3 linked regions of the Arabidopsis thaliana genome follow. The protein of the gene in region 3 interacts with the protein of the main gene of each other region in a pairwise test. Each region holds a gene or a part of one and is shown on either strand. Other genes may lie near its edges.

Region 1 (6,668 bases), on a different chromosome or scaffold from region 3:
AGAAAGATATAAACAAGCTAAATTTAAGTGCATAAATATAATTTAAAGCCGCCCAGGACCAGTTTTTAACTAAACTTTTTCCATCTTTTCTCAGTTGTTGGGTATATATATATTACAATTGAGAACTAATTTTAACATCTTTCACTCTGGAGAAATTCAATTGGGTAATATAAAAATTGCTTGAAGTTTACTAAGTATATGTTTTTTTTCAAATCTTTGATCAGTGGAACACGAAACCTAGTTAAGTCATGTTTAGATCCGGCAAGCAAACGGATAAACGGGGAAAAAGGTAGCTTGGAGCTCAACACCAACCAGAAAGCTATTTCAATATCAAACCAAAAGATTTTTATTATTCTTTCTTTTCTAAAATAAGTATTTTTGATTTGACCTTGAAAAGTACTATATATAATTATATATGTCGTAAATCAATAAAAAGAGGGTTATATTATATATTAATTAATATCATAAGACTATAACTAAACCACATTTAAATTGCAACACAGAGATCGATCCTAATGAACAAAAATAAAGCAAAAGATTAATCTTTGAAACATGAACACTATCTTCTTTTCTTAAAAGTACGTACAATATGCATGTTAATCACCACTAAGTAACAACCTAGGTAAGGGTGTTTTTTCCAAATTGCACGAAGTTTCAAAAATAGATAAACGAAAACAAAAACAAAAACAAAAGAAATCCTCTTATTATTATAACGTTTAAAGATTAACAATAATCAATAACTGATATCAGAATCTGATCAAGACCTCGGAGGTGTGAAGAATGGCGTACCCGCGATGAAGGAGTTGAGTTGAGCTGGGTAAAGCGAAGAAGGATCAAGCATTAATCCATTATTATTGTTACCGGTGACAGTCTTAGTGGCGGTCTCCTCCACATTGGTGGTGGTTGCAGTGGAAGCAAGTAGGTTAAGGTGATGATTATCTTGATGTTCTGGTCCTTGGTCATAGAGAATGCCTTTGAAGATATGGCCTCCAATGTTCACAGCCGTTTGGTAAGCATATGCTTGATCATCTTCATCCTCTTCTATTGAGCTCACTCTAACGCACCGGAATATCGCCGGTGAGTTAACCTCCGGTGGTAAGTGTTGACTCACCTCCAACCCTAATTTTTTTATTAATGATTATAAGATCACCAAAATATAAACATGAGATTTGTTTTTAGCCCCTTTTAGTATAACATGTTGTTGATTATAAAGCGTAGCTCCCATTTCATATCTACAAAAACGAATCTTTATTGCATTGTTTTTACATGAAATCGATCTTGGTTAGATCCTTTTATGTCGTCAGGTTTACTAAGGAACAGTAACTTGTATAAATAAAGCAGCAATATCCGGCGGACATCCTCATTCACACGCAAATGATGTTGTACTTCTCCACAAACATTCATAATTAAAACTTTGACACTTTTTCATGAAAATTTAATCAATCTTGAAAGCTAATTCAATATCATCAAGAATTTTACCTGAATTAGAATTAGCATTCACCACACGGGTATTAGCAAGAGCCGATCCACCACCACCACTATGGTCTTTATCATCATTATTATCACCACCACTAGCTTCTCGAAGGCGTTTGGCGTTTTGCGTTTCACGGCTGGAGGCTGAGTGGTGCTGCAAGGAAGCGAGTTGGGCTAAACGCTCACGACGTTTAGCAGCAGGAACCCAAGTGCTCTTAACGTGAGTTTGACAATGAAAGCCTCGGCTTTTACAACAAGTTCTACATCTCATATGAGGACAATCTTTCTTAGCTTGATTTCCACAATCTTGACAATTCATACCTCCTTGTCTCGTCACCGTGAACCCTCCCGGCTCATGATCGGAGACTACGTTGAAGTATAAACTCCGGCTACGGTTATTGTTGTTGTTGCTGCTGCTTCCGCTAGGAACCATTCCAAATGAGTAGAAGTTTGCAGGAGCTGAGGCATGTTGTTGCTGTTGTTGTTGTTGTTGATGTTCTTGTTGTTGGAAGTATTGCGGAGGCCAAATCTCGAAACCCTTGTTGTTATTATAGATCTCGTCTTTGTAAAGATAAAGATAATTGCTCTTGTCTTGATGATGATGATCCTTGTCTACTTGATGATGATCTTGCTTGTTGTTGTTGCTGTTGTTGTCTCTCCCTCCTAGATAGAAGAACCCTGCCATTTCTTTCCCCAGTGGTAATCAACATCACACACCCAACACACCACAAAGAGAAATCAAAGAAAAGGGTAAATCTTGATTTGATTTCCTTTTCTTTGCTATAAAGATTGACGGTAGATGATGAGGAAGCTTAAGAAACTGCAAACGCCGCCATGGAATTAGTCTTTCTTCATCACTTAAGATAACTCAAGTTTGATCTCTGAAAGTGGAAGTTTGCTGGATTTACTCGGTGGATTAAGAGAGAGAGAGAGAGAAAAAAAGTTTTTAAGACATAGAGAGTCCCATGAAGATCTTTTGCTTTGGGCACTTCACTACAGTTATCTTCCAGTTTGAGTGAATCCCCATCACATAAATATCACTCAAACTATTGTTGAAAAAAAAAGAAAAAAAAAGGAATATGGATAAATAGATAGGTGACATTTTTTAAGTAATTTTGTTAGAGTAATCATTCCATTCCATTAATATGTATATATGCTTATTCTCTACATTTTTCATAGGTATTTTCATAATCCCTTATTACAATCTAATTAATACATGTAAGATGATAAAAATTAAATGACGCGTTGTTTTCTTTACTATGTAGGAAGTCATTTTTTTGTCCACAGATGCAAATTATATATCTAATCGATGGTTTTAGGATTCAAAACAATATGCATGAAGGAGTATAAAATATATTACGCCGAACCAACGTATCGAATTTAATAATGACTCGTTTTCGTTTTAGTAGATTTTAAAAATTTAAGATGTGTTAATTAAAAGAAATTTCTTAGCGAAAATGTTGTTTCTTTTAAAACTAAACTAGAAAATAGAAAATAGCTCGCTTTTTAAGCTCATAGTGTTAATTTTTATCAATGGTGAATAGAGTGCCACGTGTTAGAACAGGGAGTTTTTCTCCACTCGTCCCTCCCCCGCAAAACCCTCCCCACCGTTTATCTTTTTACTTCGGTTTATCTATTTTGTGATGAAATTATATATGGGAAGTTTGAGAAAACAAAAAAGGCAAAGATAAAAGTCTGAAATAAAGAAAAAGGAAAAAAAAAATGAAATCTGAGAAAAAATGAAAAGGATAGTCTAACGTCACATTCCTTTGACATTTTATCGTCACGGACGGTCTCATCGTGAGGTTTACCGCTTAATCACGGCGATTAGACTTTCAATGACATAACTTTTTCAACGACGCCTTCGTGCGTTAATTTTTCCTTTTTTGATAATTTTGTTATTTATTCGTCTAATCAGAAATACGTGGTATTAACATTGAATCGACATGAAGAGGGCGATCGTAGAAACTTAAACACTTTTTGAATATGAACTATAAGAAAACTATGTGGTGTGTGAAAAAAAAACAAAAAAAAAACTATGTGGTTTGTTTTAAGGGATTTTTGCTGGACAGCGATCCCTAGTCTAGTTCTAGGTCACGAGTCATTATTATTAGCCGACGAAGGGATGTGATCGTCTTCCATCTTTACCCAAACTAATACATGAATATAATGTATTATTTCTGTATTCAGGTTTTTAGCTTTTTTTTTTTTTTTTTTTTTTTTTTTTTTTTAAAGGTTTTTAGCTTATTCCAATCGAAGTAGAAAACTTAGCTTTCACGTTAATACAGTACTATATAGTTTCAAATTTTGGAAAAATATATAACTAAACGGGATATGAGGGTTATTTAGCTTATTTTGCTCGTTTTACAAATTAAAACTATAAATATGTACACACACATAATTGCATAAACATGAGAATAGTTAAGAGTACATAAAAACCGTTAGTGGTTTATCTTAAACTAGCTACTATTAATTATACCAACTAATTAAATATTTTATACTATCACGTAATTGGTCGTACATAAATCTGCGAATTTAAAATTTAAATCACTAAAGGATTTACTTATTCAGTCATACCTTGTACCCTCATTAGAGCCGAAGCAGGCAGACCCACTCTAGTTTCTTTGATCACGTGGAATCGCGGGAATTAGCGGCGCAATTTGCATTTTATAATCATAATTAGGCGCATTTGGTATTTAATTTTAAAGTTTATATCTCTGATGGTTCGCCTTTTCTTTATCCTAAATGTTGTGCATGTACAGTATATAAGTATATGGTCTATTCAAAGTTTGAAAAATATTTAAAGATATTTCATATTTGTAATCGACGACCAACCCACATACCTTAAACTCTTAATAACACTCGCATTACTTCAAAACTGATTACCAATTTTCATATCCTAATTTTTGCCATCGCATGATCTCAAATTTAACTTGTGAATTATATTTATTTCAAAATTTACGAGTCTATTCCACCTTGTATTGCCAATCGTTGACGACTTCTCATGCATATTCATAATAAGCAGGTCACGAGAGTAAGATTTTACTTCTCCAATTCTCATAGCTAGATTTGATCAAATCTTCGGTATCGACGAGCCAATTAATACACAACCAATTTCTCAAGATAAAGTCTCTTACCTATATTACTAGCTAATCCTTGAAGATGAGATGTGCGATTGACAAAAAAAAAAAAAAAATGAGTTATGCATGTTGTAAGGATTTGCGTATTTAATTGTTTTTGGTGAGCAAATGCTTCTTTATGAACCAAGCAAGTACTTTAAAATCTTGGCTGTGAAGTATTTTTGTCGCTTTATAAAAAAGGCATACTTATTGGATTTAGAGAAACAAACGTACAAAATGAAGGCAATGTGAGTTTTCTTGGAATAGTTCTTAGAGATTTTTAACTCTCTCAAATCACTCAAATGTGAATTTAAATTTAAAGTATTCAATTTGTTTCAAAGTCTTTACATGTTTTTGTGTTCACTTTGCCAATCACCTATATCATCAACCATTAATTTGGGTTCGCTCCATAAAATATGGTTATCAAAAACGATATGCATCGGAAACAATACGTAAAAATATCAAAAAGAAAACAATTTATAGTTTTCAGACAATATTAGATGTCAAAGAAAAATCATTATTGAAATGCGTTTGTAGGACAAAAAATAAAAACAAAAACAAAAATCTGTTCAATCAAAAAAAGGAAAAAAAGAAAAAAAAAAAAAAGAGAGAGAGAGAAAAGAAAGCCCAATCCCATCCCAAACATCTGTGTCTAGAAAAAAGGAGAATTTTCTTAACATAATACGACTTAAATTTGTTAAGCTTTAGTAAACAACAATTATATATGCGTGTATCTATAGAAAGGTTGATCGTACGTATTAGTTACCCACCCAAAAAATGGACTTGATCTTATTTAAGGGCCCGAGGCATGAGTCTTTTGTATTTTAGAATTTCTTGTTGACTAAATCACTATTTTGTCTTTATTTGTAAATGTAATTACTTAACACTCCTAACTTTGATGAATCGGGATCTTCATGATTAAACTAGTTGGCTAATGTCCCTTTTGTCTTTGTTCTTTACTTTAGTTTTCCTTTGGCTAACATTATTAAGTTTTTTTTCCTTTTCATTTTTTGACATTTTGACGGGGTTAATAGCTACCACTGATTTACTTTTTGGCGGTTGATATTTCTCTAAGGAGACAGGCATAGCTAATTCACGTTTGATATAGATGCATGTTTCCCAATTATATCTTATTATCTTAATTTATGTTATTTTAACTCAATTTACAAACAACAAAAAATGCTATTGTAGTCATGCGTAGGCAATGAAGTTATCCAACATGTTCAAATGATTAACATTGTCATCCAACACTCTTATTTTTTTTCTAAAAACACCACAAACACTATCATTCCATTTTAAAGGATACATCTAATGTTTCTTTTTTAATTTATAAAAATGTGTATATTTTTCCGAGAGTTAGCTTCAATTCACAGTAAAGCCAATAAAGGTTTAGCTAATGCCGAAGCAATGCCCAGCATTATTCAGCCATAGATCACAATGACGAAATACTATTTAATATCAGATTGTGGGCATTGGTGTTCATTGGCATGGTTATCAGAGGTGATCTATTTTTTTTTCCTTTTTTAGCCGAGGTGTTCTCGGTTGTTATAATTATGATTCTTTCTATTACTAGATTTTGTCACCTCCCACAAGTCAGACAGAGAGTGAGGAGCAAAGGTCATCGTAGGGGAAAAATCAAGAATAAGGATTAGCTCCAATAGTCCAATTATTATTTAGTTGTTGTCTTTCACTCTCGAGCCTTGTGCTCACCTTTCTTCTCGCTGCATCTCCTCTCTCTCTCTCTCCTATATAGTACTAGTATCTTTTTATATGGTAGTCAATCATTCTCCTCACTAACAGTATTTTCCCGACAATCTTCTCAATGATTATATCTATTATATATACGCTGTGTTTAAAATTCTTTTAAGTTCCAGGCTTTTTAACTTATGTTTGGATTCAATACCAATAAAATTTGTCGAAAACGATTCAAGCAGACAAAATTTGTAACAATTCATTTTTAGTGTGAGGGTAATAAAAATCAACCGATGCAAAGTCACTGTGATCAAAATTTGAGGATTTATACTTAAACCTAAATACAAGTGATTGATAAAATGTTCGTTTAAAGTTGTTTGACCA
Region 2 (5,557 bases), on a different chromosome or scaffold from region 3:
CAAAACAGATTATGGACGGCTAAAGCACACGTGCCTCCCACCTGACACTCATGCCATCATCCCCATCTACACGAAACTCGAAGATTGGACTCATGATGCTACCACTCTACTTTTCAAATACATTTTAAAAAAAAACTCATAACTCACTACAGTTTTTTTACTTTTGAATTTAATTTTCTTCCTACACAATTCATAGATGAAAAAAGAATTTTACATGTCTAATTTATAAACCAAACCATGAAACCATAATTCAATATAATGAGAAAACTAATGAAAACGATAACTACTTTTTTGTGTCATGATCATCCGATTTTTTTATTTTTATTTTTGGGTACTCTCCTATACTAAATTGTTTGATGTTGACAGACCATCTAAATGTTCGATGTTTCTTGGTTTCATATTCCACATCCATTTAATGGAGTGATATCTACTACCTATTTGATACATCAACCAACCATCATGTCATTTTAAGACATTTAAGAAAAAACATCAAAAGTAGAAAAAAAATATCAAAAGGAGATATTTGATTAGTAATTAATTACATCCACGTAATTAGGGAACCATAGGAGATTTCTGAAAAAAAATTCCTCTTACTTAGCCAAAAACATAGGAGATTTTTCTTTTTCTCATCTACTAAAGAAAACATTAATTATTTTCCGGCAATGTAAAATACAAATTATGAAAAGAAGAAAAAAATCTAAACGTCCACCACCGGTGGAGCTAGGTTAAGATCCAGGTTTAGTTCTCTTCTCGGTTCAACTTTTACGGTTTCTCGAATACCAATACTCAACTCGATATTAACCGGATCAAACCGAACCGGACAAACCCGAGAAAGCTCTGCTCTTAACGAAGCAGCTCTTGACGGATCGAAGAAAAAACCAGCAGAAGCATAACCACCGACGACTTTACGCTCCCGGTGACATGCAAACGGAAATCTCTGACGCGTCATCTCACGCGCCGTCGTCACCGTCGTACGGTTGACGTAAGAATCGTTCTCGCCACCGTCGTTAACCGTAGTAGACTCTCCGGGAAGAGGGAAATTAGTCTTTGCTTTGGAGCCACGAAACTCTCTAGCGGCGGTGTCGTAAGCTCTTGCAGCTTCCTCCGCCGTGTCGAATGTCCCGAGCCAAACCCGGGTTTTCTTTCCCGGGTCACGGATCTCCGCCGCGTATCTACCCCATGGACGCTTCCTCACACCTCTAAAGTGCACTTCCTTCCGCATCGTCGTCATCGTCATCGTCTTCCCTCCGCCGCCTTCACTCACGGCAATGCTTCTACCGTTCGCCTGTCTTGGAGCCATTGCTTATAAAAGAAGAGATATATTCTCGTTTAGATAGAGAAGTGACGTTGTTTTTGGTTTAATTTATAAAGGAAAAGGTTTTTGGTTTAGAGAAAGAGAAAGAGACGGTCAACGAGGGTTTGACTGAAAAGCGCCGCCCAAAAAACAGACAATGTGAGAGGTTTTAATGTTTTTGTGACGGCTTTTTGCCTTAACGTCCCGTTACTGCGGCGTGACTTTGCGTAATTTGATTGCTTGATCTCACGCTCCTTCATTAATCTACATGACTACCACGCTCTCTAACGATTAAATGAGTTTTACATTAATATGAATTTCCAAGCCTTATTTTAGTACCCACCAATATGAATAGCCTTTTTTTTTTTTTTTTGTCGGCCCAATATGAATAGCTAATAGCCACGGTTCTATACTTCTATGTTGACAATGTTGTCATTTAAATTTTGTATAGAGATATATTTATGTACAATGTTTCGAATGAAATATGTAGTAGGTGATTTAGATATATGGTTTGATAATATGTGAGTAGGTAAATGTGTCAATATCTTTTTTTAATAAATGGTTAGCAGCTTAAGAATCCAGTTTATTTTAAGAATCCAATTTGTATCAACTTAATTATCATTATATGACATATCATATTGCAAAAAGTTTTTTCTTTTTTTTTGAATCTATTGCTAAAAGATTTTGATTTGTTATTTAGATACATGGCATACAGGTTGATACACAATTTTATTTACTTTGGGAGATTTCGTTGATTTCCTGTTTTAAGAAATCAACAACAATCAACTTTATTGATGAACATTGTTTTTTTTTTTTTTTGAATAAAATGTCAAATTATATTTAAAAGAAAAAATATACTTTTTACATCAGCTTTTTTGATATTTTGATAATAAGAGAAATAGAGCTAGATCAAAAACAGAGTAAATAGAATTGAGAGAGCAAAAACAGAGTCTTCTTTCTTAGAGGATGCTATGGACGCATGTCAAACCATACTTGCAGCCCCTTCTCGAGTCGAAGATCCCCTTTCTTTTTGATTGTCGATAGCTGGTTTCTAATAGTCTTGTCTATCTGTCGGATGAGGTTTGAAGCTGAACGTGACTTCTCTCCGTGACGACGAGAATTTCTCTCCCTCCAAATGGAATGAATAGAGACTTGGAATGTGTACCTGGATAAGAAACTTTGGATGCGATCAGGCTGAGAATCAGATATGTAATTCACCACAGCAGACCATTTTGTGGAAAATCTATCTTTGTACACATTCTTTGCGATTGATGTCCAGATTTCAGAAGAATAGCAGCATTGGATATTGATGAACATTGTTGTGTAACAGCTGTAGAGGATTTCATATATGTAATATATGTTATAGTTAACTCATTTAACTCGATAAATAAAACAAATTTAGAATTATATTAACTTTTATTGAATAAGTATTTTACTTTAACACATGAATAATGGATACGTCTAACGTTATTGTCAAATGTTAATCCACACAAAAGTCACAATTTTTTTGATCCTACAACATAACACAAAAAAAGAGAAAAAATGGTATTTGAATCCCGTTACGTTACAGATACACGTATGTATGTTAGAGTATCTTCAGTGAATCTCTCAAAAATGAGTATTGGAGTAATAAAAAGTGATCTGGAGGGAACACCATAGTAGATTATGAAGCTTCAACACAGATTTAACGAGAGCTTTAACTTCGAAAATGAGTCACCTAAACCACCGCTTACAACAACGAGAAATAACTATTTCTATGTCTCCTCAGCAAAGTTCCTTATATGATTTTCTTGTCCTTAAAGAGGTATTTTCTTAAAACATTACTTTGAAGATATCTTCATAGGCAAAAATCTAGAAATTAGAAATAAAGGATGTTTAAAAATATAAAATTTAAGGTTTGCTAATGCTGAACTGTGAAATTAAAACCAACAACCACAACAAACCAAACCGGAATATCATTTAAACCAAATTAAAACTAAAGGGCGTTCAGTATTCGGATCGAATATTTCGAGTTTGTGTATTTCAGATTTAGAAGTTTAAGACCCGTTCGGGTATTTTAAAATTTTAAACCGTTCGAGTTCAGGTTTATTTAAATATTAAAATATCAAAATTTTGTATGTAAATTTATCAAATTACTTGAAAATTTCAAAAACTCTCAAAACAACACGAATAGTTTTACTTTAATATATCCAAAGTAACCTAAAATACACAAAATAACTAAAATATCCAAATATCCAAATATTTTCTGTATTTAAGTATGAATATAAATAATATATCAAATATTTGAGGTATGTTTGGATATTTGTTCAGATCGGGTTTGGGTTAGAGTTTTTCGGGTTTTGAAGTTTAGGACCCGTTGAATATTTGAAATTTTTGGATTTGGATCAGGGTTTTCGGTCGGGTTTGGGTTGGTTCGTAGGGTTCGATTATTATGTCGAGACCTAACTAAATTGAATTACAAATTGGTTTTATGGTTTAAACAAATAAAGCGAAACCGAAATAATTGAACCGAAACCAAACCGGAATTGTTATTTGATTGAACATTTTAGATGCAAAAAATTTGGGTTTTTTATTTGTTTTAATATTAAATTAATACCAACAATAATATTTGTGAATTAATTGTAACTTTGTAAGGTTTCGTAAGGTGGGCCATGAAACCGGATACTCGAGAGTCGCCGGAGTGTCCTTGCCTTCTTCTATCAGTTCTGCTTCTGCTTTAGAAATTAGGGTTCCCTTTTTGAAGAAGACGAGTGTAAGTGTCTCTCCTTCTCGATTTCTCGCTCATCTTCTTCTTCTTTCACCCCGCATAGACCTAATTTAAGCTATCCTCCTCTCTCATCATCGCAGATTCACTTCTTCTCACCGTGAAGCGATGGCTTCTTTGTTCAAGGTACATAAAGTTTAGATTTTTATCGGAAACCATTTCTGGGTTTTGCTTTTTCTAGCATAGAAAATCGAGATTCGTTAATGTTTTTAGTGAATTTAGTATCCGGGTTGTCTGGAATCTGATGGGTCTGAAGCGATTCTAATTGATTTTTGAAGTTGTTGTCTAGGGTTTGGTCTCACGATTTCATGTTTGGGGTTTTTGATTGTCAGGAGCAAGCAAAGCTATCAGCTTATCGTGATAGAAGATTTTCAGGAACACAAGAGGAGTTTGATGAAGCGCTAAGAGCATCTACAACGGTTTACATTGGCAATGTGTCTTTTTACACTACTGAAGAACAGCTTTACGAGCTTTTCTCTAGAGCTGGAGAAATCAAAAAGATCATCATGGGTTTGGATAAGAACACTAAAACACCTTGTGGCTTTTGTTTCGTCCTGTAAGCTTTCATCTTCAACAGTTTTATATGTAAGTTTCATTATGGTGGTTGCTGAGTTTTGGTTTTGTGTCTTGTTTTTATCAGGTTCTACTCTAGAGAGGATACTGAAGATGCAGTCAAGTATATAAGTGGGACTATTCTCGATGACCGGCCTATTCGTGTGGATTTTGATTGGGGATTCCAAGAAGGAAGACAATGGGGCCGTGGTAGAAGCGGTGGCCAGGTATTCATCAGATGCATCATCCTCTCTGTAATTCCCTGACCGTTTCTTTACAATTAAAAGGTCATCATGGTTTTCTAATTTCATACAGGTTCGTGATGAATACCGTACAGATTACGATCCTGATATCCTTTTAGTCCGCATAGTTATGCACTCTGTTGTTCTTGTTTAGTATACCTGTTTTGTGGTAGGAAAGATTGATTTCTCGGTTATGAATTTCCCGCCAATCCATGTGTTTTTTCCTTAACTCATTGATTACCTAGAGGTGGTTATGGGAAATTAGTTCAGAAGGAACTCGAAGCACAAAGGCAGCTCGTGGATTACGGTACTGGCTCATTGGGAGCTTATCCTCAAGCTGCGCCAACGAATTGTATGTTTTTTTCAACTTTCTACCAAATTTACTTGATCTTATTCCTGGTTTCATGATTTCGCACTATACTGTGGACAAATGGTGAACTAAAAGTACCATGAATGCGAGTCTTAAGTTGCTTTACTTAGAATTGTAGTGCTCAGAATAAGACTCTTTATCTTGCAAAGCATCTGCTTATTGTTTTCCCAGTTCCCTTTCGAATAGATAGTGAAAATGTGAAACAAGATATGGTCCTAGTGTTAAGTATCTTATTCAAGTCAAATTATGTGAGAATCCGTAAATAGAGCCTGCAAAACACTAGATTCCTAAATGCTTTTTGCATATGTTAATCACAGATGGAAATGGAAGGCGTG
Region 3 (8,688 bases):
TTTTTGTAGTCCCTATCTTGAAACGTACCAAAGTTAGTTCTTTTCTTGCAACATCTACCTTCTCTACATCCTTTGATATAGCTAACCAGTTCTTGTTGTTGATTTTATCCGATGGAGCAGATGCCTCAAGAATTGGGATGTGATGGTTGTTCCTCACATGCTTATCAGGAACGTGGTTGGTCCTAACAACTTCATTTGAAAGCTCCAAAGGGCGGACCACAGGTGACACATTTTTCTCCACAAATCGAAGAGGCGCAGTTAGAAACAGGTTACCTTCGACTACTGCTTCTGTTGATTCTCCAACATCCTTTGAAGATTTATGTATTTCTAACCTACCACCACCATCGAAAGAAAGTTGCATACTCGGTAAAGATGAACCATTTTCTTTACTAGGAATTTCTCCTTCGATTGTGGCTGCATTAGTTTCCTCTGATCGATCACACAATTCGGTTTCGGGAAATGCAGGAAGCCAAACAGGAATGTGTTCATCTGGAGGTTCTGCTCCAACCTCAGAGAAACTAGGAGCAGGTTTTTTCTCTTTACTAAATGGGAAACGAGGAAGAGAGTAAACAAACGGTATCTCCTCTGCTTCTCCAGTATAACGAATGATATCCTTGACTACACCGGAATCAGCAAGACAATGGTCAGTATCAGAAACACCAGCAAAACCCAAACCAGATCCCAAATCCTCTAATGCTTGAAGAATGTCCAGAGAATTACCATCTACTCTACCGGCTAAGTTAGCATACAAATGAGCAGTCTTCCCAATGCTCTGAATATACTGAACCGCAACATCAGTTAGTGTATCAAGAGCAGATTCTTGAAAAGAACTAAACCTCACACCCTCACGTGTCTGTGATTCCTGATACGGGTTAACCTCAACACTCTCGCATATCTGAGCCACTGCCATTCTCGCTATGGAAAAAGCGAAATCATTGCCTCGGAAAAGCTTTCTCTTACCATGTAATTCTCTTTGCTGACTTCCACCTTCCCCAACTCCATTGTTCATATTCAAAAACTTTGTTACAACTTCACCCAACATAACATGTAGAACCATCTCTTGAGTGAAAAACCAACACAACACGTATCCCTCTCAGAACACAAAACAAAAGCCAATATCTTTCCCTCGAAAGTCTTCTCTTAGGCACCTAAGAACAAATAAGAGAGAATAAAACATCAGAATCAATTTTATACTAAACCCAAAAGTGACTAAAAAACGAAGAATTGAACTTAATGAAAGATCAATTTTGTTCCGGTCACTAAGAATAGACGTTTCGGGTTCAATTTAAAGCAGTAGAAAGCAACAAAGCAAACTCGAGAGCGAGAGTTAACGAATCCAATTAAGAGAAGTAAAATGCTTTACCGGAGAAAAAGCTTTATCCACTGAAAATTCACCGGGGAAGAAGAACAGACACAACTTGGGCAGCTATCGGCGGCGAACACAGTGAGAGAAAATGCTAGCGAAGAAGTGAAATTGAAAGCACCAACAAACGAAATTGAGGAAATTTCGCATGCGAATCAAAAACCCAGCTCCAAGTTTAAAACTTTCGATCCAATTTGAGAAGGCGAAGAAAAAGAAGGGTGGGAGATTTTCCAAGTTTGAGATTTTCGTTAACTTTATAGAGAGGAACTACTGAGTTTTTTTAAAGAAAATTAAAGGCAATTACTATTTTTTTCATTTTTAAGGAAATTAAATTAATCTTTATTATAAAAAGAATTATTTATTTTCATATATAGTAAGATTAAGATTATTACAGCGATGATGTAATAATTAGAAAGGATACAATTATTTGCGTTGATGGGCTTTCAGGTTATCAAACAGAATTTCAAACTAATGGGTCTTAGTGGTTGGCCCAACAATAAAAAGACGTTACAAAACATATCAAAAGTTCAAAACCAAATCTTGTTTGATACAGTATGTTTTTAATTTTTAGTGCGACTTAATAAATTCAAATTTCGTCATTTATTGTCCTCCGTAGTTTAGTTTGCTATCAATTTTTGTGAGGTTGGAACGTAAAACCAGATAATTCGAATTAATATATATATATATGCATGTAGTATGATAGCTAGAGATCGACATGGAAGCTTTTTGCAGAAAGTATGATGATATACGACAGAGTCACAGAGCATTGGATCGGTAGCCTTTTACTCAAATCAATCAAAGATCGTACACACAACATTATTTAGAAGCTTTTGTCTCTATCACCCCTATAATAATTTAACTAATTTTTCTTCTTTCTTCATTTATTAATTCTTCCTTTTTTACCTCCTACTATAAATATTAACATAGCATGTACATATGTAATTTGCATTTTAGCCTAACTCTTTCATTGGTGAACATGCATGTGATCACTATTCACTACTACACATTATTATCGAGACCATTTAGCCTAGCTACACATCTTAATTTTTATATGGGAATGGCTTCTTTGCATCTTGATAGTTTACTTACTATGCTAATAAGATTTTAAAATGGGCACTTGTATGTATAATAACCATTCATGATGAATTTCTATTTGATAATGGGTTCAATATATATCTGCTTCACATGACATAGTAATGTTAGGTTTGTTTGGGTTTTGTGGAATCTCCACTTATATCATCATCTAATAATCTATCTAGCTACGGTCACATTGAGTTCTATAGTTGCATTGTACCGTGCATCCAATAGAAACATAATACCTCGATAACAGATCAGTATAAATTATTAGATTCAATTTCATATTATTACGTTACCTATTGATGAATCTGATTTTTTTTTTTGCTAAATATTTGATGAATCTGAATGTAATTTAGCTTCTCATCTCAAAGTGCATACATTACTATCAGATACTTATAATACATTTCATGTATGTTTGTGTGTATTCAGATCCTATGAGGAAGCTATATATATATATATACATGAGAAAGTTTCAAAACACATGCTAATAGTAAATTAATAAATCAATTTATAACATTAATTTGTCTATTAAAAAATATATCAGCAAAACATAGTACAATAGTAATTACCTTATATTTTGTTTTGTGTCCCCTTATTTCTGAACACATCAAACAACAATTATATCGTTTCAATAATCTAACTTCACATATGGTGATCACTTCCTCTACTTGTACAACGCTCCGAGCCTAGATGCCTCGACATGTTAGCCGTTGTAGTGCTATTAGTTCGGTTGAATTGGACCGACGACATCCGATTATCAATGTCTCTACCACCATTGTTGCTACTACTACCATGTAACAACGAATATAATGTCGAAATGTTTTGGGAAGACGAAGATGAAGAATTACCCATTAATGGCATTTGAAAATGGCTTACCATTTGCCTCGGATCTAATGTCTCCATAGTCCCTGAACCAGCTGACGATGATGATGGAAACAAAGATTGTATAGTTGTAGTTGTTGGTGATGTCGTCATTGGACATACCAAAATTTGTGATGGAAATGGGACAAGACTATGTAGTTGATGACTATGATAATCTGCCTGTAAACTCAAATGTTGGTGATGATGATGATGATGTTCCAGGTTGTGATAAGTTCCATAAGACCCAACATGATGATTGTTTGTGTAAACGACATCGTTTTCTCCTTTCTCTCTATCGTTTTCTTCGCGGCTAGTAGTAGTAGACTTTTGTACACATCCATTGATTTTAAACCCGAGTTGGGTCGGATCTTGACCGGGCCGTTGACCAAGATTCAAGAAGGACTGATGATGGTTGAAGATGCTGAAATTTTCCGGCGAGATAGGTAACGGAGGTAGCTCGTCGATCTCCTCTTTAGCTGCATCAAGCAACCAGTCAACGGCTTTGCTAGGCTGGTCAACACCGAGCCGTTCTTGAAGATCGTAGAGCTGAATAGCCGTTGGGACTGATAATCTCACGCGTCTGTCACGTAGTCCACGTAACGTACACACTTTGCTGTGACGGTCTTTGCCTCCAAAGGCGCGTGAAACCCTAACAATCCTCGGATCCTTGGATTTCATCCACGAAGAAGAAGAAGAAGAGATCGATGTAGGCTGCTTTTTAATTACGGTTTTGCCACTGGTGGCTCTGACTTCGGTTTCTTCTTGATCCTCTTTTACTTCTCTTTCACGTCTTGTCGTAGCGCCGCCTGCAACTTCGTCGTTTGCATCTTTCCAAGAGACGATATTCATAATGCTATTCTCGAGATCTTTATATCTAATACAGAAAGAAGACCAAATGTATATCCATTAGCAGAAAACATAAGGGAATTATGGCAAAAGAATTCAAATAATATAGTTAATTTCTGAATCCTTTTAAAACGAGAGCGAATCCAGAAAAATGGAGAGAAAGTAGGAATTGTCTAAGAGAGAAAATTAGGGTTTAATTTAGCCTGTTTTCTTCAATCGACAAAATTCTTATAATCCGGACTGAAGAAGAAACAAAAAAAAAAACGTGTACTGTTTCTTACATGAGTTCCAAAGTTTTGTACGGTCTTGAGCTTGAACAGGAAATCTAGGGTTTTGCTGTTCTATAAAATGAGTAATATGATGAAGAAGAGAGAATGAGAAATAGAGAGAAGAAAGTATGTGATTCGACTTTTCTTTTCAAAAAGTATATGAATAAAATGAAAATAAGATAAAAAGAAAAAGAAAATTAGAAAGAAGAAGATGCTTTTGGAAGTGAATATGAGAACCCTACCAATATCATAAGCCTCCAAAATTTAGAAGAATTGCGACTTAAGTATTTATGTTAAAAAAAGCAATGGATGTAGTAATGCCACGTGGCGGATTTCGCTATCCTCGAAGGGAAAATAAAATGAATGCGCTGAATAATCAGTCAAGTTCATTTTCATCTTTAATATTATGGATCATATCAAATCTACATACGGAGGAGATATTAAACTCGAATATTTTATCATCCACGTATGTGATATGAGTTGCAGTTATAATACGGCTAAGAAGAAAATCCCAAAAAAAGTATACGCGAATATCTAAATTTTACAGAAATTTTAGATGCCAAAATCAAACATACATTGACGTGAAGTTATATATAATAGTAGCTTATTAGAACATCTAACCAATGTTATGAAAATAACGACATTTTAGGAATAATTATTGTTGTGAAATGGATGATGTACGATTATTGATGGAAAACGTATGAATTTTATCTCAATTAGCCAAACCATGATAATTTCGTGATTTTTTTTCTTTAATTGTCCACTGTAAATCTATTGGTAGAATTAAAAAGCCAAGACCTATATTATTTATGATCCTTGATTTTTTTTTTTGCTCTTTTCAAAAATATGTTTTGCAGCCGCCAATGCACTCGTGATATATTGAAATGAAGTTGGATCTATAATATTATGACTAGTTAAACACTTCATCACTTTCTTTTCTTAAAAAAAAAAATGAAACTACATCAATTATTAACCAGGTATTGATTTGTTTCATAACACTTCTATAAATGATAAAGATTAGACTTTAGAGTTCAGCGTAGCGTTTTCTTGATCATTTTAACTCATCTTTTAAATTGGATATCTTATGAATAATCTAATTAAAAGAATATGGTACATTATGTTTAAATTTAGTCCTTGGTTCTACAATATGAAATGTAACTCACATATATGGTAATATATAATATACACACAGTATATGGTCCATGTGAATATTGGCATGCTGTTATATCGACAATTACAAAAGGTTGTGGTTTACCCGATGCACGCCTTGTGTACCTTGTTGAGTCATGACTCATTACCTTTTCAAAACACAAGTACTTTAACTAGACATCACTAAGCCCTAATTTACTTTTGCTTCATATATAAAAATCAGTTTTAACATCTTTATTTATCGATAAGGTTGTGTTAACCTTGTGATTTTTCTTTATATAAGGATTTTTTTTTAATAAGATTTTCTATATTAGATCTAATGATGTATATATTATATTTAAATGTGTAATCTAATATAATTAATATGGACGGTAGGATATAAGAAGTAATATGATTTTGTTATTCGGATGCATCATCTGTGAAAAGGGGCACCTATATAATTCCCATATTACTAGTCAAACCATTCTTTTAGGTCAAACTTAATGTTCTAAGAATAATTGAGACGAGTATTTTTCAGAATTTCAAATCCATAAAACTAATAATAAAAAAGTATCCACATGATTGTCTTTTGAAGTATGCAACTTAATTAATTATCCATTCACAATAAGATTTGTACCCCTTTTTCAAATACATTTTAAATATCTATATGAATCAATAACATTCATCAAATTATTAATTTTATTAAATTGTACATTGTCTTTTAAATAAAGTGATATAAGAATATTAGAAGTGGACGAAAGCAATATATCCTTATGAATCGAAACAAAGGAGTAAGAGAAAAAGAAAGTGTGATGATGATCATTTTATCTTAAGACATCACATGGGAACAAAGGAGAAATCGGACAAACTTAGAATCCATTAAGTCATGTCTACTTCACCGACTCCAGAATTTTGTTGTCTCATGAACAAAGATTGGGGTTTTAATAGCTTTTCTATAGTATTTTCACATCCATAATAATAATTAATGATGTGAAGGATATATATATCAACGACAATAATATCCTAAAAATCATGTTAAAAGTTAAACACATTTCTCCATATTTGATAAATAGCAATCAATATCAGCGTATATAAATGAGATGAAGCTAAAGTTAGCAAGACAAACAAAAACGTATGAATTACGTGAGCTTACGTGAATATTGCAAATAGAACACCAAATCATTAATTTCGGTTGACGTGGATATTCAAATAATGATCTACACATATACAGTACCGTGGGTACGCATGCCATTTCGAGACGTATACAATTCAGTTTCTTCCACTTGAGTTTCAGATCTTTATCAAAATTACAAACACGTTTATATATATATACACATATAGATAGATTGATAGCCACATTTCTGAGATTCGATAGTCATATATACGACTATATATTAAATATTCCAGAAGATATATTGACACTTTTTCTGAAAGACTAATTAAGAAGAACGCGCAAGTATGACTATGCGTTACTAAGAATATTTAATTTCCATTAGAAAATGTGTAAGTTTATCTGATATACTAGTTAATTAGCCAAATGATTTTAAAATTTACGTTAAGAAAATTTCGTAGGTTCAACTTTTTAGTGTGTAAGTTATTAATTGTGAATTATACAGCTAGGAACGTCCGTTATATGTAAACAAAGTAACTATATATAAAATTTAAGACTTAGAGTAAGTATTTATTATGTGATTGTTATATATACTCGCTAAAGAGTACTAGATGAAGAGTGAAGAGGTTGGGCATCTCGAGAGAGAAACTGAAGAAAACAGAAGAGAAAGAGAGTTATTCACTCGATGGTCCCCCTAATTTTCCTATCACTTTTTCTCTCTCAATTTAACCGTCTCTTGTATTATCCCCAATAGTTACATTTTTAATTACTCTTATCATTTCAATACCCAACAAAGCAGAAACAGCCCAGCAAAATTTTCACTTCCAGAAATTATAACATGGTTGAATACACAACACTAATTAACTGCAATATGAATCATAAATAAATTTATTAAGATTTCTATATAAAAACTGTTGGGCAGCAAATGCATGCGTACGATATCTATAGAATTGGAGTTTAGTGCAATTGTTGGTATTTCTTTCTTTGGGGAAAGTGACACGTTAAAATATGAAAAATGTAAAAATTTGAACAAGACTTACAATAACTAGAAAAATCAGAGATACAAAATTTACTACTCTATCAGTCTATCTGTTGTCTTATACACTACACCTTTATTATGCACTGTTCCTATCCCAAACACCAATCCCTATGCTCAGTCCATATGGTAGATACTACTAGAGATGGTAACCCAACACATATGTGTTAGATGGCCCCATAGGCAGTAAGCAAAACATTACTTTTTACAACCATATCTTTGTTTATAAATTTTAAAAGCTATGTGAATTTAATTTAGTATTACTATCCTGGATCACAATCTTGGGCCAACAAAAGAAATGTGTATGGGCCAACTGTGATGAAAGAAAAGCCCAATGGATCAAAGTTCAGATGCTTTCTGTAGCTCTTTTGTAGAGAAGTTTTTGTAAGTTTAGTTATAGAAGCAAAAATAGGTAAACCACAAAACTGAAGCCCGGTTGACTAAATCCTTAAATGTGATCATGTCACACAGCAACTTGGCTACATGTTGTCGTGAAGCAATGAATAAAGTGGTACGTGGTGTATTCTAGAAGCGAAACGTGTCACTAATCTTATCACCTTTTTAGGGTAAAATAGATTTGAAACAAAACATTTCTTCAAACATACAAAAAAAGAAAGAAATAGTACAAGTTGGCCACTATGCGTGTCCCACTTCTCGATCTCCTCTTTGATTGTTTGCGTCTCTTTAGGAGATCCTCCCATTCATTCATTCTTTCCTCTCCACCTTATTATTACTATTATTCTGCTGCATGAATTTCAAAAAATTATGTAACAACAATTTACCGAAATGAAATTACCACAAAGGATTAGAAACTAGCACATTCTTAATAACCAATATTGAACTCTTATTAGTATTGTTGTTAGAACTTGAAGTTAATTAGGCCACAAGAAAAGGCGCGTAGAAATGTTTAGATAAAAAAAATGTCTAACGTATTTCTTTGGTTTGCCGTGTCGGGGGCCCAGTCAGGCTGGATACACGTGGCAATAAAGGGACTGTC

Evidence for each region. Proteins that work in one complex are often made in the same cells at the same time.
Region 1: the proteins of PTF1 (region 3) and SRS5 interact in binary tests that used the Arabidopsis thaliana proteins (3 or more experiments, as listed by UniProt).
Region 2: the proteins of PTF1 (region 3) and ERF9 interact in binary tests that used the Arabidopsis thaliana proteins (3 or more experiments, as listed by UniProt).

The regions. Positions count from the first base shown.
Region 1 is NC_003070.9:28,351,022-28,357,689, forward strand, and holds SRS5 (SHI-related sequence 5), read right to left. Parts: upstream 2,529-6,668; 5' UTR 2,159-2,528; coding exon 1,480-2,158; intron 1,120-1,479; coding exon 758-1,119; 3' UTR 501-757; downstream 1-500. UniProt on the Arabidopsis thaliana protein: Transcription activator that binds DNA on 5'-ACTCTAC-3' and promotes auxin homeostasis-regulating gene expression (e.g. YUC genes), as well as genes affecting stamen development, cell expansion and timing of flowering.
Region 2 is NC_003076.8:17,802,485-17,808,041, reverse strand, and holds ERF9 (erf domain protein 9), read right to left. Parts: upstream 1,646-5,557; 5' UTR 1,301-1,645; coding exon 698-1,300; 3' UTR 501-697; downstream 1-500. Other genes in the region: CBP20 (CAP-binding protein 20), read left to right, coding at 4,167-4,184, 4,391-4,614, 4,699-4,837, 4,926-4,959, 5,094-5,204, 5,540-5,557.
Region 3 is NC_003074.8:386,984-395,671, reverse strand, and holds PTF1 (plastid transcription factor 1), read right to left. Parts: upstream 4,953-8,688; 5' UTR 4,429-4,952; intron 4,176-4,428; 5' UTR 4,151-4,175; coding exon 3,083-4,150; 3' UTR 2,905-3,082; downstream 1-2,904. Other genes in the region: AT3G02160 (Bromodomain transcription factor), read right to left, coding at 1-1,057. UniProt on the Arabidopsis thaliana protein: Plays a pivotal role in the control of morphogenesis of shoot organs by negatively regulating the expression of boundary-specific genes such as CUC genes, probably through the induction of miRNA (e.g. miR164).